Elephas maximus indicus: one gene and its partner. The protein of the gene in region 1 interacts with the protein of each later gene in a biochemical or structural test. Links are inferred from orthologs where the notes say so. Each region holds a gene or a part of one and is shown on either strand. Other genes may lie near its edges.

Evidence for each region. The genes of interacting proteins can lie anywhere in the genome.
Region 2: the proteins of guanine nucleotide-binding protein G(q) subunit alpha (region 1) and GRK2 form a complex in vitro, tested with the Homo sapiens proteins (3 studies listed by BioGRID). The link is inferred for Elephas maximus indicus from reciprocal best matches to the Homo sapiens genes GNAQ and GRK2.

The regions. Positions count from the first base shown.
Region 1 is NC_064827.1:94,374,649-94,382,540, forward strand, and holds the start of guanine nucleotide-binding protein G(q) subunit alpha, read right to left. Parts: upstream 3,012-7,892; 5' UTR 2,915-3,011; coding exon 2,779-2,914; intron 1-2,778.
Region 2 is NC_064825.1:130,316,334-130,323,465, reverse strand, and holds the start of GRK2 (beta-adrenergic receptor kinase 1), read right to left. Parts: upstream 3,066-7,132; 5' UTR 2,838-3,065; coding exon 2,725-2,837; intron 1-2,724. UniProt on the Homo sapiens protein: Specifically phosphorylates the agonist-occupied form of the beta-adrenergic and closely related receptors, probably inducing a desensitization of them. Key regulator of LPAR1 signaling.

The DNA of each region.
Region 1 (7,892 bases):
AACAAGCCCATTAAAATGGCATCATGCCTTGACCCACAATTTACTTTGAAAATAATTTTATACTGAATATCAATATGCAGGTGATTCTTCAATTTAAATAAGCTGGTTAAAAAATACTAGGAAATCTTTAAACTGTGAAAGAACATATAGTGTCACCCCCTCTGGGCTGATACCGATTAAATGAATGGAGGAACCGGAAGGCTCAGTCTACTCAGCAGCACAGCACACATCAGGGCTTCCTCAAAGGGAACCCCTCCCCAACACCTTCCCTTGTTCCGCAAATCAACCATCATTTCCCTCTTGGACTCAAAAAATTGTGAAATCACGCTCCCGCACTCACCCACAAATCTACACTTAGTGTATGCTGTGACTATATCCACATTATAGATATTGCAGTGGTTACATGTTATCAGTGCAATAAACCTAGAACATAAAGCTGTACCAGCTCTTACATGATATCCAGTGATCGTGTTTCTGATAGACGGCTGTAGCATTTTTAAACCTTACTTATAAACGGAGATTCTCAATTTATGTCATATTTCCCTACCACTTCTAATAGGTCATATGGGGGCAGGAGGGCTGTATTAAACCCTACTCAAAAACCTAATGGGGGGGGAAGTTCTCCACACCAACACCACTTTAGCAGGAACACTGTTTTACTTTCCATTTTTCCCCTCACGAAATCATCTCCTAGTTCATGTTTAAATGCACAGTGTGTTATTTAAATGCACAGTATGTAATCAGGCATCCATATATGTTTTATTTCCCCAGCAGTCTTCCTCCTAGGCATTCAAACATAGGCCCTGGGGCAAAGCCCCAGCTCTAACTCAGCTGCTGGGAAACTCAGAGCTGCTGTCAATTTCAGGCAATAGGGCTGGCTTGAGAGACCTCCAACGCCCTGTTCACAGCTAGGCAGAAACAACTAACGACTGTAAACGGCAAAAGAAAAATCAAATCACTCGAAAGACAAATCACTGAAATCACCCTAAAACACATGCTTTTTCCCGTAATTGAGCCCTTAAGCACTCTATACATTTTTCTTGCCCTCTCTATTTTCTCCTCATCTTGAGAATTCAGAAAACATTCAACTATACATTGTCAACCATTAAAAGCAACCCAAAAATGAGAATTAAAAAAAAAAACCTTCATTTTCCAACTGGAGTTTCCCTTAAGCCCACCTCTTTCATCTAGGGCTCTGCCTTCTGTTCTTTATAAACCTGTGCACACTTACCTAATCGGGTTTCCAAATGAAGACATAACGCATGGCATGTGAATTAACCATTTGTAACTATGTGTGATCATTATATTTTGTTCCTTCTTGTAAATGATCCAGTACATAGCAGTTCAGTCACAAAGGCAATTGGTTCCTTGAGCCAGAAGATGGAACGCTCAAGATAAGAAAATGCCTGCTTCTCAAACCCTAACTGACAATGCAATATTCTTCTCTTACTGAAATGTTGGAGAAACATATTTATTATACAAGCAAAAAGCCAGGACACAAGTGCAGACATTTTTCAGGCCTGTTACTGCAAAGCTGTTTGCACTTCCTACCACAATAAAAGCTCAGAGTTATGTCATGCTGGCTTGTATGTGAACCCTGATGGCTTGACACTGAACATTCTCTCGGAGATAATAATCAATAGAATTCCTATTTGAGAAATGGCATTTTCTTGCTAACTTAGTGTTAAAGCAGAATGTTGAGTTGTTTGTTTAGAGATTAAAGGGAAATTTTTGCTACAAGCTTCCCGTTTTCCTTCTAGCCCAGATTCCAATGATATTAAAACGATGTCTGTTTAAAACAAACAAAAGGTTTCTATTTGTTTCCATGGGAGTAATTGGAGGCTGCATGGGTTTTCAGTAGTAACTATTGTGAATTCAGGCCTACATCTGGGTTGCCTTCATTAAACAAAAGATACCCGTCGCTGTCAACAACCACACAGCACAGCGCTCCCATATCCCTCATTTTTATCCGGAAGGAATGGTGCAGACGAGAAACAAGCCTGTCACTATCCACTGGCCAAGAAACTCCTCTGGGGTCCCTCCTTTCGGTGGTCTGACGGCTAAAGAATAGCACTTCTGTAGCATTTGGGGCTGCCCCTCTCCCCAGTACATAAGCCCCCTTTCTTTGGAGGACCAGGCACTCCTATACCTCATCACCACTCTTGGCGAATCCAGCCGCGAGTCTGCCCACCGCTCCCCAATTAACTCCAGACCCCAGAAGGCACTGATAGCGGATGCACACGCCACTCCACCACACACCATCTTCTAGCGTGTCCTGGCTCCGCTCGCCACGCTCGGGGACACACACACACACAGCTCCCCACGCGACCATCCCACCGGGCGCCGCGCTACGACACTTTAAGTTCAACCTCTCTGCCCACCTTCCCACCCCCGCGCCCCGAGCCTCTCCCGTGAAGTGATTTTCCGTTTAGCAGATGCACAGCAGATAAACGCGCACCCCGAATTCACAGCCCTAGGGACACGAAAAGGCACACGCCAAGGCACCCGGCAGGGCAGCATGAAGCGTGCGTGTGTGTGTGTGTGTGTGTGTGTGTGTGTGTGTATAAGTGCGCGCGCGCGCGCGTGTCTGTACGCGTCCGCGCGCCTGCGGGTGGTGGCCAGGGGCGCGCCCGCGCGCCCAGGGAGGGCAGGGGTGAGCCACAGGCGCCGGGGGCTGGGGGCGCCATGGGCAGCTACCCCGAGGGGCCGGGAGTGGCGGGCGGGGACACGGAAGCCCGGCGAGAGGGCACCAGGCGGCCGGGCCCGGGCCGTACTCACCGAGCAGCAGCAGCTTGAGCTCCCGGCGGGCGTCCCGCTTGTCCCTACGGAGCTGCCGCTCGATCTCGTCGTTGATCCGCCGGGCTTCCTTGGCCTCCTCGCTCAGGCAGCACGCCATGATGGACTCCAGAGTCATTCTTCCAAAGTGCCTCCGCTGCAGCCTCGCCGGCACCCCCTGCTCACACGCGCGCACACACACCCTCCCACCCTCGCTCCCCGGAGGCAGCGGTGGCCGCCGAGCCCTCGCCGCCCGGGCGCGCGGCCGGGACGAGCTCGGGGAGCCGCCGCGGGGACCACGGCCAGGGCCGGGCCACCTGGTGGGCCGGGGGGCGCGGCGGGAGCGAACGGCTCGGAGTGGTCCCCTGGGCCGCGGGAGGAACGAGGCGGGCGCGGGAGGCGGCCGCGGGCGCTGGCTCGGGGGGCGCGCGGGGGAAGGCCGCCGCGCCCGGCCTCGCTCAGACGCCCGCGCCTCCTTCCCCGGGAACGGGGAGCCCGCCTCGCCCCCCGCGCCGCCGCGGCCGCCGAGACTCCCCTAAGCTGGGCGCCGGGCGGCAAGAGCACATCCACCGGGACGTCCCCGCAGCCAGCGGCCGCCGACGGCTCCCCGCGCCCGGCGCGCCCGCTGTTCGCCGCCGCCTGACACGGCTCCCGGGCGCCCTCGGCCCTGCCCGCGCCCACCGCCCGGCTCGCGCGCAAACACCGCTTGCCGGCCGGTTCGACCGCCCGCCGCCGCGTACTCCTTCCTCCTCCTCCGTCTCCGCCTCCGCCAGACGCCCACCCCCGGCCTCGATTGCCAGGCGCGGAGCGGCTGCTCACTGCTCGCCCTCCCCCTCGCCACACACACACATTTTCTTCTTTCTCTGAACTGGAGCACAGATCCGGGAGGGAGGCGGCAGCGGCGGGAGGAGGGGGAAGAGGGAGCTAGGGGACGGACGCGGGAGGAGGGGAGCTGGGAGGCGGGGCCGCCCGGCCCCTCCTGGAAGGCTTTCCTGGGTTCGCAGCCGCCGCGGCGCGCCTCCTGGTGCGGCTCCGGCCTCTCCCGCGCAGCTCACCGCTCGGGACCGGCCCCCTCCGGCTCTGCGGGCGCTTCCCGCTCCAGCGCTCTCGTAGGGGCCCGCGGGCGCAGCGGTCACGGCCGCCCCCGGCGGGGGTCGGGGCGGGGGCTGGGTCCCCCTGGCTGGCTGACGCGGTGCCCCAACCGGCGGCCGCTGCTGTGGTCTGGGGCCGCCGCCAACCTGCCGCTGCCGGGCCAACCGCCCGGGCGTGGTAAAGCAGGAATATGGCGGCCTCCGCCTGCCTGGAATTCCAGCCCTCGAGCCCGGGAAAGCAGCCTCGGCCCCTGCTGGAAGTCGGAGGATTCAGGCCCGCAAACCCACCGAACAGCCTGGCGGCGCACACACCCTGCCCGCTCCCTGCAGGCGGCGGTGGCGCTCGCGCCAGGGCCCCCTATTGCAGCAGCGCCTTTCTGCCCCCCCCCCCACTGCAGCCGTAAACCCGCTTGTGTATTCTTTCTCATTCCTGTTTCTAAAACGCCATTCGGTTAGAAAGTATCTTGCATCACCTCTGACCCTAGTTCAGTCGTAGAAAATAAAGATCATCTGAGTTGTGGGGTGGGACTGGGGAATAGAAGAAATAGTCACTGGTTCTTGGAGGGGCCAAGAGGAAGATTAACAGGCGAAACGGTCCACAAAGAAATCTAAATCCTGAGTAGAAAAATGAAGACGCCCAAGTTTGCAAGAGCTTCCCGATGGCCTCCAACTTTTCATGCCATTGAAGGTGGTTTTGTTTTGTTTTTTACAAGGCCGCCTCTTGTTTTTGTGAAGACACATGGTGTTTAACAGCAAGTAATCAAACTTATTTTCCTAGACGGAGATTCAGTTATGGATGACGTATGGGAAAATGCAAAATAATGTGGGATAAAGGAAAAGGAAAAAATACATATATAAAAATGAGAAAATCAAGATTGTCCCAGCAAAATTCCATTCTGATTATTTGTTTTTCCACTTTTGATTGAGGCTTATTTTGTTGTGATGTACTACTGATAAATGGCAAAAAAATTTTTTCCTTGCCGATTGCGGGTGTTGTTGATCTAACAGCTAGAAGAGGTGAAAGAAACCCGCATTGCTTCCTGCTCAAGTATACTTTATGAGGAGAGTCTCTTTTTCTCATTTTATGTTTTCTCTGAGATGTCTCTGGTGCAAGGTGCTGATCCAGAATGTAAAGTAAGGTCAAGCCAAGCCAAAGGTAGCCTGTACTATTGCTGTAGGTCAGCGCACGTTGGGTTCTTGGTTGACAGCTCTATGACTTCGTTCTTTCCATTTGTCATTACCCCCATACCACCCCAGCACGTACACACACACACACACACACACACACACACTGTAAGCCAGAAGGAAAAGCAAATCATGGAGGTATAAGATCTGCTGTTTTAGTTTCCTTTTTAGAGGAATGGAGCCCCGGTGGTGCAGTGCTTAAGAGCTATGGCTGCTAACCAAAAGATTGGCAGCTCAAATCCACCAGCTGCTCCTTGGAAACCCAGTGGGGCAGTTCTACCCTCTTATATATAGGGTCATCATGAGTCAGAATCTACGTGACAGCAACGGGTTTGTTTTTTGTTTGGTTTTTAAAAGAATATTCAGCCCAGAAAATGATTCAATTTCACCTTGACCAGGAAAGCAGACAGGGCAAATCTCGCCTCTGTTATGCAAAAGTCTATGAAAAGCCAGTAAACTTGCTGCCAGATTAAAAATTTAAAATTAAGTGACTGATGAAATTAAAGATTGAAATTCAATATGCAGAAATTTAGAATGGCTTCTGGGAAAAAAACTTAATGATGAGTCTGCATTCTCTGCCATACGTATATACTTGAGTTTCAGAGAGGCAAAAAACAATAGAAAATCAAATGACAGCGAGCTTCAAGTCTGCGGTTTCCTCACAAAGGATGCACTGAGTCTTTTGAAAATGTCTCTCAAACAGTGCTATCAAACTATCAGGTAATCTGTTTTGACTGAATTGACCTATTATTTGATGGAAGAAATTAAACTGTTTCAGCAGATGGTTTGTTATTGGTAGTTGCTGTCCAGCCCATTCCAACTCATGGCCATCCTATGTGTGCAAAGTAGAACTGCTTCTTAGGGCTTTCGAGGCTGTGGCCTGTCGGAAGCAGATCTCTAGGCCTTACTTCTGAGGTGCCTATGGGTGGGTTTGAACCTTGTAGATACATTGGAAATCTAGTTTGTCACCCTTGCACACCCAGTATCAGTGACACTCCCTGGCACTCAATAGATATTTGAATTAAAAAAAACCCGTTGCCATCGAGTCGATTCCGACACAGTGACCCTATAGGATAGAGTAGAACTGCCCCATAGTTTCCAAGGAGCACCTGGCGGATTTGAACTGCCGACCCTTTGGTCAATGGCTGTAGCACTTAGCCACCATGCCACCATGGTTTCCATAGATAGAACAAATCAGATGTTTCTTCAAGTACTGGGAAGAAATCAGGAAGTAAGGAAAACCAACGCAATAATAGAGCCATGTGTAGGTGGCAAGAAGGAAAGAGGAAAAGAATATTCCATGTCTGAACCTAGACTTATCCAGAAACCTTTACCTATATATCTGAAAAGCATTTATCAAACAAATATTCATATGTCACACAAAAAAATCCTTGCAGGAACTACTAAAGTTATCGGCCATGTTCTAGAAGCATATACTCTAAAATATGCAACTAAACATGAATCATGTTACAAAATGTCAGTATATCAATCAAGAAACATTTATTCATTGCCCACTGTGTATAAATAACAAAGATGAAGGTGCAGGAAGAGAGAGCCACTAGGGTGAATCAAATATGGTCTTGCCCTCAAGAGGCTTATAGTCTTAAGATATAATGAGGCTCTGAACAGCTGTAATAAAAGACAAAATGAGATTAATTTTATTAAAGTAGGGGTAGAAGTGACAATGTAAAACGTTTTAGAAAGAAAGGAATAATTCCTTCTGTTAGGGAGAACTGAAGACTTCACGAGGAAGGTGGAGAATGAATAACTTTTCAATAAATGGGGATCTACACCTCATAAAAATAAATGAGCAATCCCAAATCACCCCAGATAGCAAGATAAAAAAAAAAAACATTTTGAGAATTTACTAGATAGCTGAAAAGCGAACCACAAAACCCAAAGAACGTTAAACTCCAGAGGAAAATGGGAAGACTGTCACATCTTCTTTGGTATCCTAAGGTGGATACCTATCACCACAATCACATTACCTGTCGTTGGGACTCTGGGGTGGGGCAGAACAAAGCAGTAAAAGTCATAGTTCAGTATTGTGAGGAGTGATCCCAGACTCAATGAAAAGGCCCAGTTCTTGTAGAAAGAGCTCCTGGGGAAGGGAAAGCTTGTTAATCAATGACTCTCAGCACTTCTTTTGTTCTCATAGTCACATAGCATGGCTGCTTCATAGCCTGTGCCACCCTGCTGTAATTGTCTACTTATTCTCCCTCTCTCTCTCTCCCAGGAGTCCTTGGGCGGAGCAAACAGTTAAGCACTGGACTACTAACTTAAAAAGCTGACAGTTCAAACCCACCCAGAGGCACCTTGAAAGACAGGCCTGGCAGTCTGCTTCCAAAAGTTCACAGCCTTGAAGGCGCTACGTATAGAGTAGTCCTACTCTGAAACACGTAGGATCACCGTGAGGCAGGATCCACTTGACGGCAACTAACAACTCTCCCATAAGATTGGGAGTTGCTTGAGAGCAGGGACTGTGTCTTCCATAACAGTCGTCAACGCCTAGCCCAGAGCAGATACTCAGTAAGTGACAAATAAACAACCTGCCTCAAAGACAAACACACTCACAGATTGCCTGTCCCAGGCAGGGCATTATGCCAGAGCCATCCAAGGCCCTTCCTTAAAGCCTTTATACTCTATTTGGGCGGTCAGTCGCATGCGTTAACGAACAAACAACAACACAAGGTGCAGAGCATTCCCTGCTGAGTATAGGGAATAGATTGCTATAGGTGTTCAGAAGGAGGAGCAGTTATCCAAGCCATTGTATGGATAGGCATACGATGATCACCCCAAAGGCCAATATGAAATCGGCCTGAATTATTATAGATCCTTTCG
Region 2 (7,132 bases), on another chromosome or scaffold:
TTGGCTCAAGTAGACACATGAGACTATGCGGGCAGCTCCTGTCTGGAGGGGAGACAGAAGGCAGAGGGGGTCAGGAGTTGGCTGAATGGATGCGGAGACAGAGGGTGGAGAGGAGTGTGCTGTCTCATTGGGGGAGGGTGGCTAGGAGTATATAGCAAGGTGTATATAAAGATTTGTATGAGATACTGACTTGATTTGTAAACTTTCACTTAAAGCACAATCAAATAAATAAACAAACAAACGTGCGCCGAGGTGACAACAGAGGTGTTCGGGGTGGACAGAGAAGCATAGCGGGAAAGCAGCACTGGCCAGAGGTCCAGAGAGCACGGTTCAAATTCCAGCTCTTCTCTGATACCAAGTCTCTCTCCCTCTGAGTCTCAGTTTCTTCAGCTATTAAATGGGGAGAAAACCACCTGATGTGCTTGCTTCCCACCGTCGTGGAAAGGATAAAATGGAGTCAGAGCGCTTTGCAAACTGGGAAGTGCCAGGCAAATGTGAGCTATAGTCACATCGCCGCTGAGGGCCAGGAGACACTGGACCCACTGGCTACAGTGTCATCACACACCTAGGCCTGGACTCCTGGGTGTCGGTGCCCTGCCATCCAGAGCTAGCGCCTCCGGCCACCTCATGGGTGTGGGGGATGTACCCAACATCCTGCTGCCAGATGGTGACCCTATATGAGAAGCCACAGCACCTGGCTCTCAGCCTCCAGCTGCTCCCTTAGCACTGCCTGCCTGGTCTCCACTTAGGAACAGGGCAGCCAGAACACAGCCCTCCGGGATTTCCTGAGCAACTATTCCATGCAAGGCACAGGCCTTGCCAACTTCACAGGTTCTTTTAGAGCCAACTGAGATGACAGATGTCAAAATCAGTAACAACTTGATTATCATTTCCATCCTGATTCCTATCACCACGACGATCACCACCCTGGACGGCCAAGGAGACAGGAAAAGAAGAACGGCTTGTTTCTCAGGGTTCTAACACCTGCACGGCCAACCCAAGGCGGGGCCCCATCATGAGCAATGCATTCTGGGGTTAGATTACCCAAACACAGAGAGTTCCAGAAAGGGCTCCACCTCACACTTCGCAGAACTCCAGCCTGCAGGAGGGTCTTGAGGCCGCGGCCACCGCGAAGAGCCATTGCGAGCCCTCGAGGTTGGCTCCCCCCATTTCCTCTCTCGTGGCTTTGTCATTTCTGAACTCATTTTGTTCTAACTGTCTCAGCTCCCTGGTCAGCCCCCAGCTGACAGTCAGTTCTGGTTCCTGTTTTGAGAAATCTGATAGCAAACGTCTTAGAAAAAAAGGGGCCCTAACGGCCTTTTCAAAGCGCAGGCCCATTTTCCTCTCTCTCCCAAGCTTGGTGTTCAGTCAACGTGAAACCCAGCAAAAGGGCAGGGTGGAGGGCACCATTGGGAGACTCCTGCAGCTCCAGGCTGAGGCAGCTGCGGCCCTGCTCGGGGGCCTCAGGACACCACAGAGCCACAGCCCTCATTTCACGTCATCCACATTTCACAGATGAGAGAACCGAGGCCCAGACATGGGAAGGGACTTGCCCAGAGTCACAGCAGGCCCGCTCCCAGGCATTGGAGGAATGGCTGGGACTGGCCACGTGACATAAGGAATCACGGTGGGCACACAGCCCTCACAGATGCAGCGTGTCCAGGCAGTAGACGGAACGTAGAGCTAGAAGCTAGAATCCCTGAGGTGGTGGCCGGGTTCCACCCTGTGTTATCTGTGTATCAGTGGGCAGGCCACTCACCTCTGGAGCTTCTGTTTCCCCACCTGTTCCACAGGAATGAATCCACACCTGTCCTACCCACCCCACGAGCTGCTAGGAGGCCCGTACAATGGGAAAGCCATAAAGTGCTGGACAGACTGAGCCCTCTGCATACCCTGTATACCTGCAGCTACATCCTGAAAAGTTTTAAACTTTGATACCAAGCATGGTGACATCAGCTGTCTTACAGAGGTGGCAACCCTGGCCCAGCTGCCGCAGGGCTGCTGGAATGTCCCCTGGTCAACAGCACTCAGCAGGGCACACCACACACAGGGCCCACCAGAGAAGGCATGCCAAGGGGAGAGGACACAGTGGGCGGCCCAGCCAGCACCCGAGCACAGCCCACCTGGACACCGTGCACAGATCCCACCGGGCTCCCCCTACACACCTGCCCAAAAAGCACTCCCAGATTCAGCCCCCGGACAGTGGTCCCATGACAGGAGTGGGAAATATCCCCAGGAAGCAGCCCCAAGACTTGTTGCCCCCCACCCCAACCTCCAACAACTGGCAGGGGTGGGGGAGAGGAAGCGGTGCTGGGGGTAGGAGCAGCCCAAGCATGGGCGATAGCTGATAGCTCCGGCCAGGCAAATGACGGCAGGCCGAGGAGACCCCGCGGGGACCAAGGGCTGCTCAGAGGAGTAAGAAGGGGAGAAGGCAGCAGTGTGGGGCTGACAGGGAGGGAGGGAGCCCGGAGTGGGCCACGGGACGCTGGGAGCGCCTGGGAGACAGTTGAGCTGGGAGCCCGGGGGCCCCAGGTTCAGGTGCACGGGGCCTCGGGACCCAGTCGGAGCCGCTCAGGGCTGCTGGCCCGCGAGCAGCGGCGGGGCAGAGGGGGTCCCGAGGGCCAGTGCTGGGGGTCTGGGGCTGCGGGTCGGGGCTCCGGGTCGGGACTCGGGGCACGGGGCTGCGGTGGGGTCGAGGCAGGGGCGCCCCGCGCGCGGCCTCACCTGGGCTCGGGCAGCAGGATCTTCTTGCTGGCGCGCGCGGCCGGCGTGGCCTTGCTCTTCTCCATGGCCATCAGGTAGCTCACGTCGGCCAGCACCGCCTCCAGGTCCGCCATCTTGGCGGCGGCGGCGGCCTCCTCCCGCCGCTCCGCTCCCTCGCTGCTCGGCGCGCTCGGCCGCCCGGCCGCTCCGCTCGGCTCGGCCGCCGCCGCCGCCCGCTCGGCCCCGCGGCCCCGCTCGCCCGCTCACAGGCGGCGCCGCCCCATAGCGCCGGCTCGGCCCGGCCGGCTCGCACTCCGCTCCCGCCGGGACTGCAGTCGGGGCGCCGCCGCCGCCGCCGCCGAAGCCGCCGCCGCCGCCGCCGTCGCCGCCGCCCGCGCCCCGGAGCCGCCGGAGCCACCGCCGCCTCCGGCCCCGCCTGCCGCGCACAGCGCCAGGAGCCGCGAGGGGCCGAGCCGGCGGCGGCGGGGCGCCCCCTGGAGGCTGCGGGCCGCCTGGCCTGACCCCGAGCCAGGCTTGGGACCAGGAGCCCAGACCCCGACCGTGACCTTGGCTCCAGGCCCAAACACCACAAGGGCCTGGGACCGAATGGGACCCCAGACCCAAACCTTGACCACAACCTCAGATCCCAACTCCAGACTGGGCTCCCCAGGCTTGGCTCTGACACTGACCACGACCTCAGACCCAGACTTCAGAACATGATTTCCAGGACTTCAGCCTCAGACCCTGACGGTAGCCCCAGACTCCCTGACCCAGGACTCAGTCCATGACCTGGATAGCAGTCCTGACCCCAGACTCCAAAACAGGAACCCCAGACCCAGACCTTGGGCCAAGACCTCACACACTGACCACAACCTGAGATGACAACCCTGGGCAGCCGACTCCACACCCAGACCTTCACGCTGACCCTAGAGTCCCCAGTAGGACCCCCAGATCCAGACTTTGGACCATGACCGCAATCTGGTTACTGACCCCAACCTTGATTTCAACCCCAGAACCACACCATTACCGTAACCATGATTCCTGGACTTGATGTCAGGGCCCAGACCTGGATTTGAACCATCAAGACCGGACCAAGGTCCAAGACCCAATGCCCGGGACTCTAGACACACAGGACACAGGACATTCAACCCGGACCCAGAACCCTGAACAGGTCACCAGGACCAAGGACCTGGGACTTGACAACTACAGCCAGACTCCAGACTTCTCCCAGCCCCATTCCGGCCTCAGGACCCCCAGACAGGATCAAGGACCCTGCACCCAGCTCCACCCACTCTGGATGAGCCCAGCCCCCTTCCCTGCACCCCATCCCATCCAGAGGCTGCTGTTCATTCAGATGACTCCACAACGTGGGATCAGACAGACAGGGCACAGGGGCTTCAGCACTGCCTGGCAAAGGAAACCCACCACGCTGAGAGCCCACTCCCAGGTAGGGAGGAGCCGTGTGGCTCCAGGTAGCACCACCATCTCAATGTTCCCCTCTTCAGAGCCCCTCTGTCTTTCTCAGGTGACAGGACCCACTCCCAGTCCTGGACATGTGGAGCTCAATCTTCAGGCCAGTTCAGCAATCAGGACCCTCTTGCAAAACAGGGACCCCCTCCCCGGGGACTTCTCAGGGAAGGAGGAGGCCACAGCTACTTTCTCAGATCAGCCCCAGCAGAGCCTAGAACCAGAGCACCTCAGAGAGGGCAAGGTCCCGTTCTCAACGAGTGACACCCCCATGCACCTAGATACCCAAGTCAGGACTCCAGGCATCATTCCTTGATTCACTTCACCATTTTTTTAAATCACCATACCCTCTTATCTGGCCCCCTGAGAATCTCCTTGAAGCTGTTCGTGTCTCAGGATCCCCATGACCACTGCCCTGGTGCAGGCCCTGACCAGACTTGCCTCTCCCAAATCTATATCTAACCAGGTCACCACCTGCTTAGCATCTAGAAGTGGATTTCTAGGCCTTCTGGGGCTGCTGAGGGTCGGGGACCCCAAGGGAAACTGCAGACCCCCACTCCACTTTGTTCAAAGCAGACCAGGTTAAGATGCTTTTGAACCTGCAAGTCAAGGTCTTGGGTGACTGGGCCCTGCTCCCCTTTTCCCCATCCTCTGCACCTGGGGTCCCTCCACCAGCCTACCTATGACTCCTCACCTCCGTGCCTTTGCTGTTTCCTGTGCCTTCTTCCTTGGCTAACTCCTGCTCATCCTTTAAGACCCACCTCCTCCAGGTAGCCTTCCCTGACCCCGTGACCTGAACTGGGTACATCTCTGACTCTGCATTTTTACCACCTGTTGTTGTTGGATGCCTTAGGGTCCATTTCAACTCATAGTGAGCCCATGTGACAGAATAGAAGAGCTCCATAGAATTTTCTAGGCTGTAATTACTACATAAGTAGATCCCCAGATTTTTCTCCCGCAGAGCTGCTGGGTGGGTTTGAACTGCCAACCTTTGGGTTAGCAGTTAAGTGCTTAGCTATTGTACCACCAGGGCTCCTTACTTACTTATGAGAACCAGTTTCCTTGATTTGAAATCATCAATAGCAAGGTGCACCATTTCACGTTTTTGACCATGGGGGTGGGCTTTATCAAATGTTTGCATCAAGTGGAAAATGCATCGTGATGTTGGGAATGCTCAGTTCAAAAAAAAAAGGAGACACTGCATCTCCCGTGGTACCGAGGCTCCAGGTTTATCTCTTGCCCCCGGTGTCTGGCACAGGGCCCAGCACAGGGACTGACACAGACAGGACATTTGTCAGTATCTGATGAATAAATGAGCTCCCTACCCAAGGTGTCGTGTGGAATTGGGGGCAGAACAGGGCCAGGGGCACACCAGGAAACCACAACAGGAGGCCCTGAACCCTCTCCCTGACCCCAGCCCCGAATCATGAGGACTGTGAGTACAGCCGTGTGCTGGCCTGGGTTTTCTGGGACAGGCTCCGTTTAGGAAATTCTTCCTGAGGAACTTATCAGACCAGGGGCTGCACGTGGGTTCTGGGAGGCAGCCCTGCCTTCCTCCACCACTTGAGAACCCAGATGGCCCCTCCTGCCTGCCCACAGCTCAACCCACATCCCGGGCTAGGCCGGAAGCCCTCGAGGGAGCCTGTCTCCTGGGTGCCCCTCAGTGAGTCCAGGGGCCCAGGAAAGTGGGTTCTGGAAGCCCGGGTTAGGAATAAAGTGGTGCCAGTACCTGACCCCAGGGAGGCTGATTTTTGGGATGGTGCTGCCCTCTGGTGGTATGGGAAGGCCGGTTGCTAAGCTTGCCTTATCTCACAGGCTTCAGGCATTCCTTCTCTCAACAAACCTCGCTGGTGCCCAGAAAGTGCCAGGCTTTAGCTGGGATGCTGGGAGTGCAAAGAGGAAAGGAACCCCAACTCCACCCAGCTGGCAGACTCGTAGACACATGGTTACTTGGTATCTGCACCGATGACTAATGAAGTTTTGCAAACTTAACACATCCCACACGGGGCTCTGACTCCCGCTGCCCAGCTCTTGCCTAGCCTGTTCCTCCTGCCTCCGCATCTCAGTCATGGCTCCTTCACCTTCCAGAAACTCTGGAGTCATCCCAATTTCACGGTTCCTTCATCTCCCGCTTCACCTCACATACACGCACGCTGTCAGCCAGCCTGTCCTGTCGGCTACCTGGTGTGTCTGTCTCTAAAATATACCCTGAATCCTTCCACTGTGGCCTGTGAAACCCGGGCCTGAGTCCCCATCACCTCCCTCCTAGATGCCCACACCTGCTCCTGAGGTCTCCCTCTTGTCCTCGAGCCCATCCGTCCACTCCCCCAGCAGTCAGCCAGAGTTTTCACAGACCACAGTCAGACCTGCCTCCAATAGCTGCTCCCCGCATGTAGGGTAAAGCCCACCCTCCTTTCTGGGACCTGTAAAAGCTGTGTGGCCTGGCCCCTGGCCACTGCTTTAACTCCTTCCCCCTTCCTCTTGTTCCTTGGTGTCTGACCTCCCTGGTCTTTCTGTCGCTAGGACAAGCCGAGCTCAGGTTCACCTCTGGGGCCTTGCCTCTATGGCTCCCCATGCCCAAACACCTTTTCCCCCACTTCCGGCATGGTGGGCCCCTGCTCAAAGCTCTCCCTTGGAACTTCTCTCTGTGGTGGTCACCATGGCACCTTTCATACCCAGCATGGCCCCTGGCACAAAACTGGGGCCACAGAGAGAACAGGACTCAGTGTCAGCCCAGTCCAGTGGGGAAGAAGATCCTTAAACGCACACCTCCAATTAACCAGGCAAGAGCTATAATACAGGTAGGTGGGACACTCAGGGGAAAAGTGTGGTCAGCTGGAGGGTCAGGGAAGGCCTGAGCGAGGTCTTGACTGTGTGTGCACAGATGAGGTCTGGGATGAGGACCAGCACACACCAAGGTCCAGGAGGGGGTGTTCCCGCCTGCTGGAGCCTCATGTCTGTC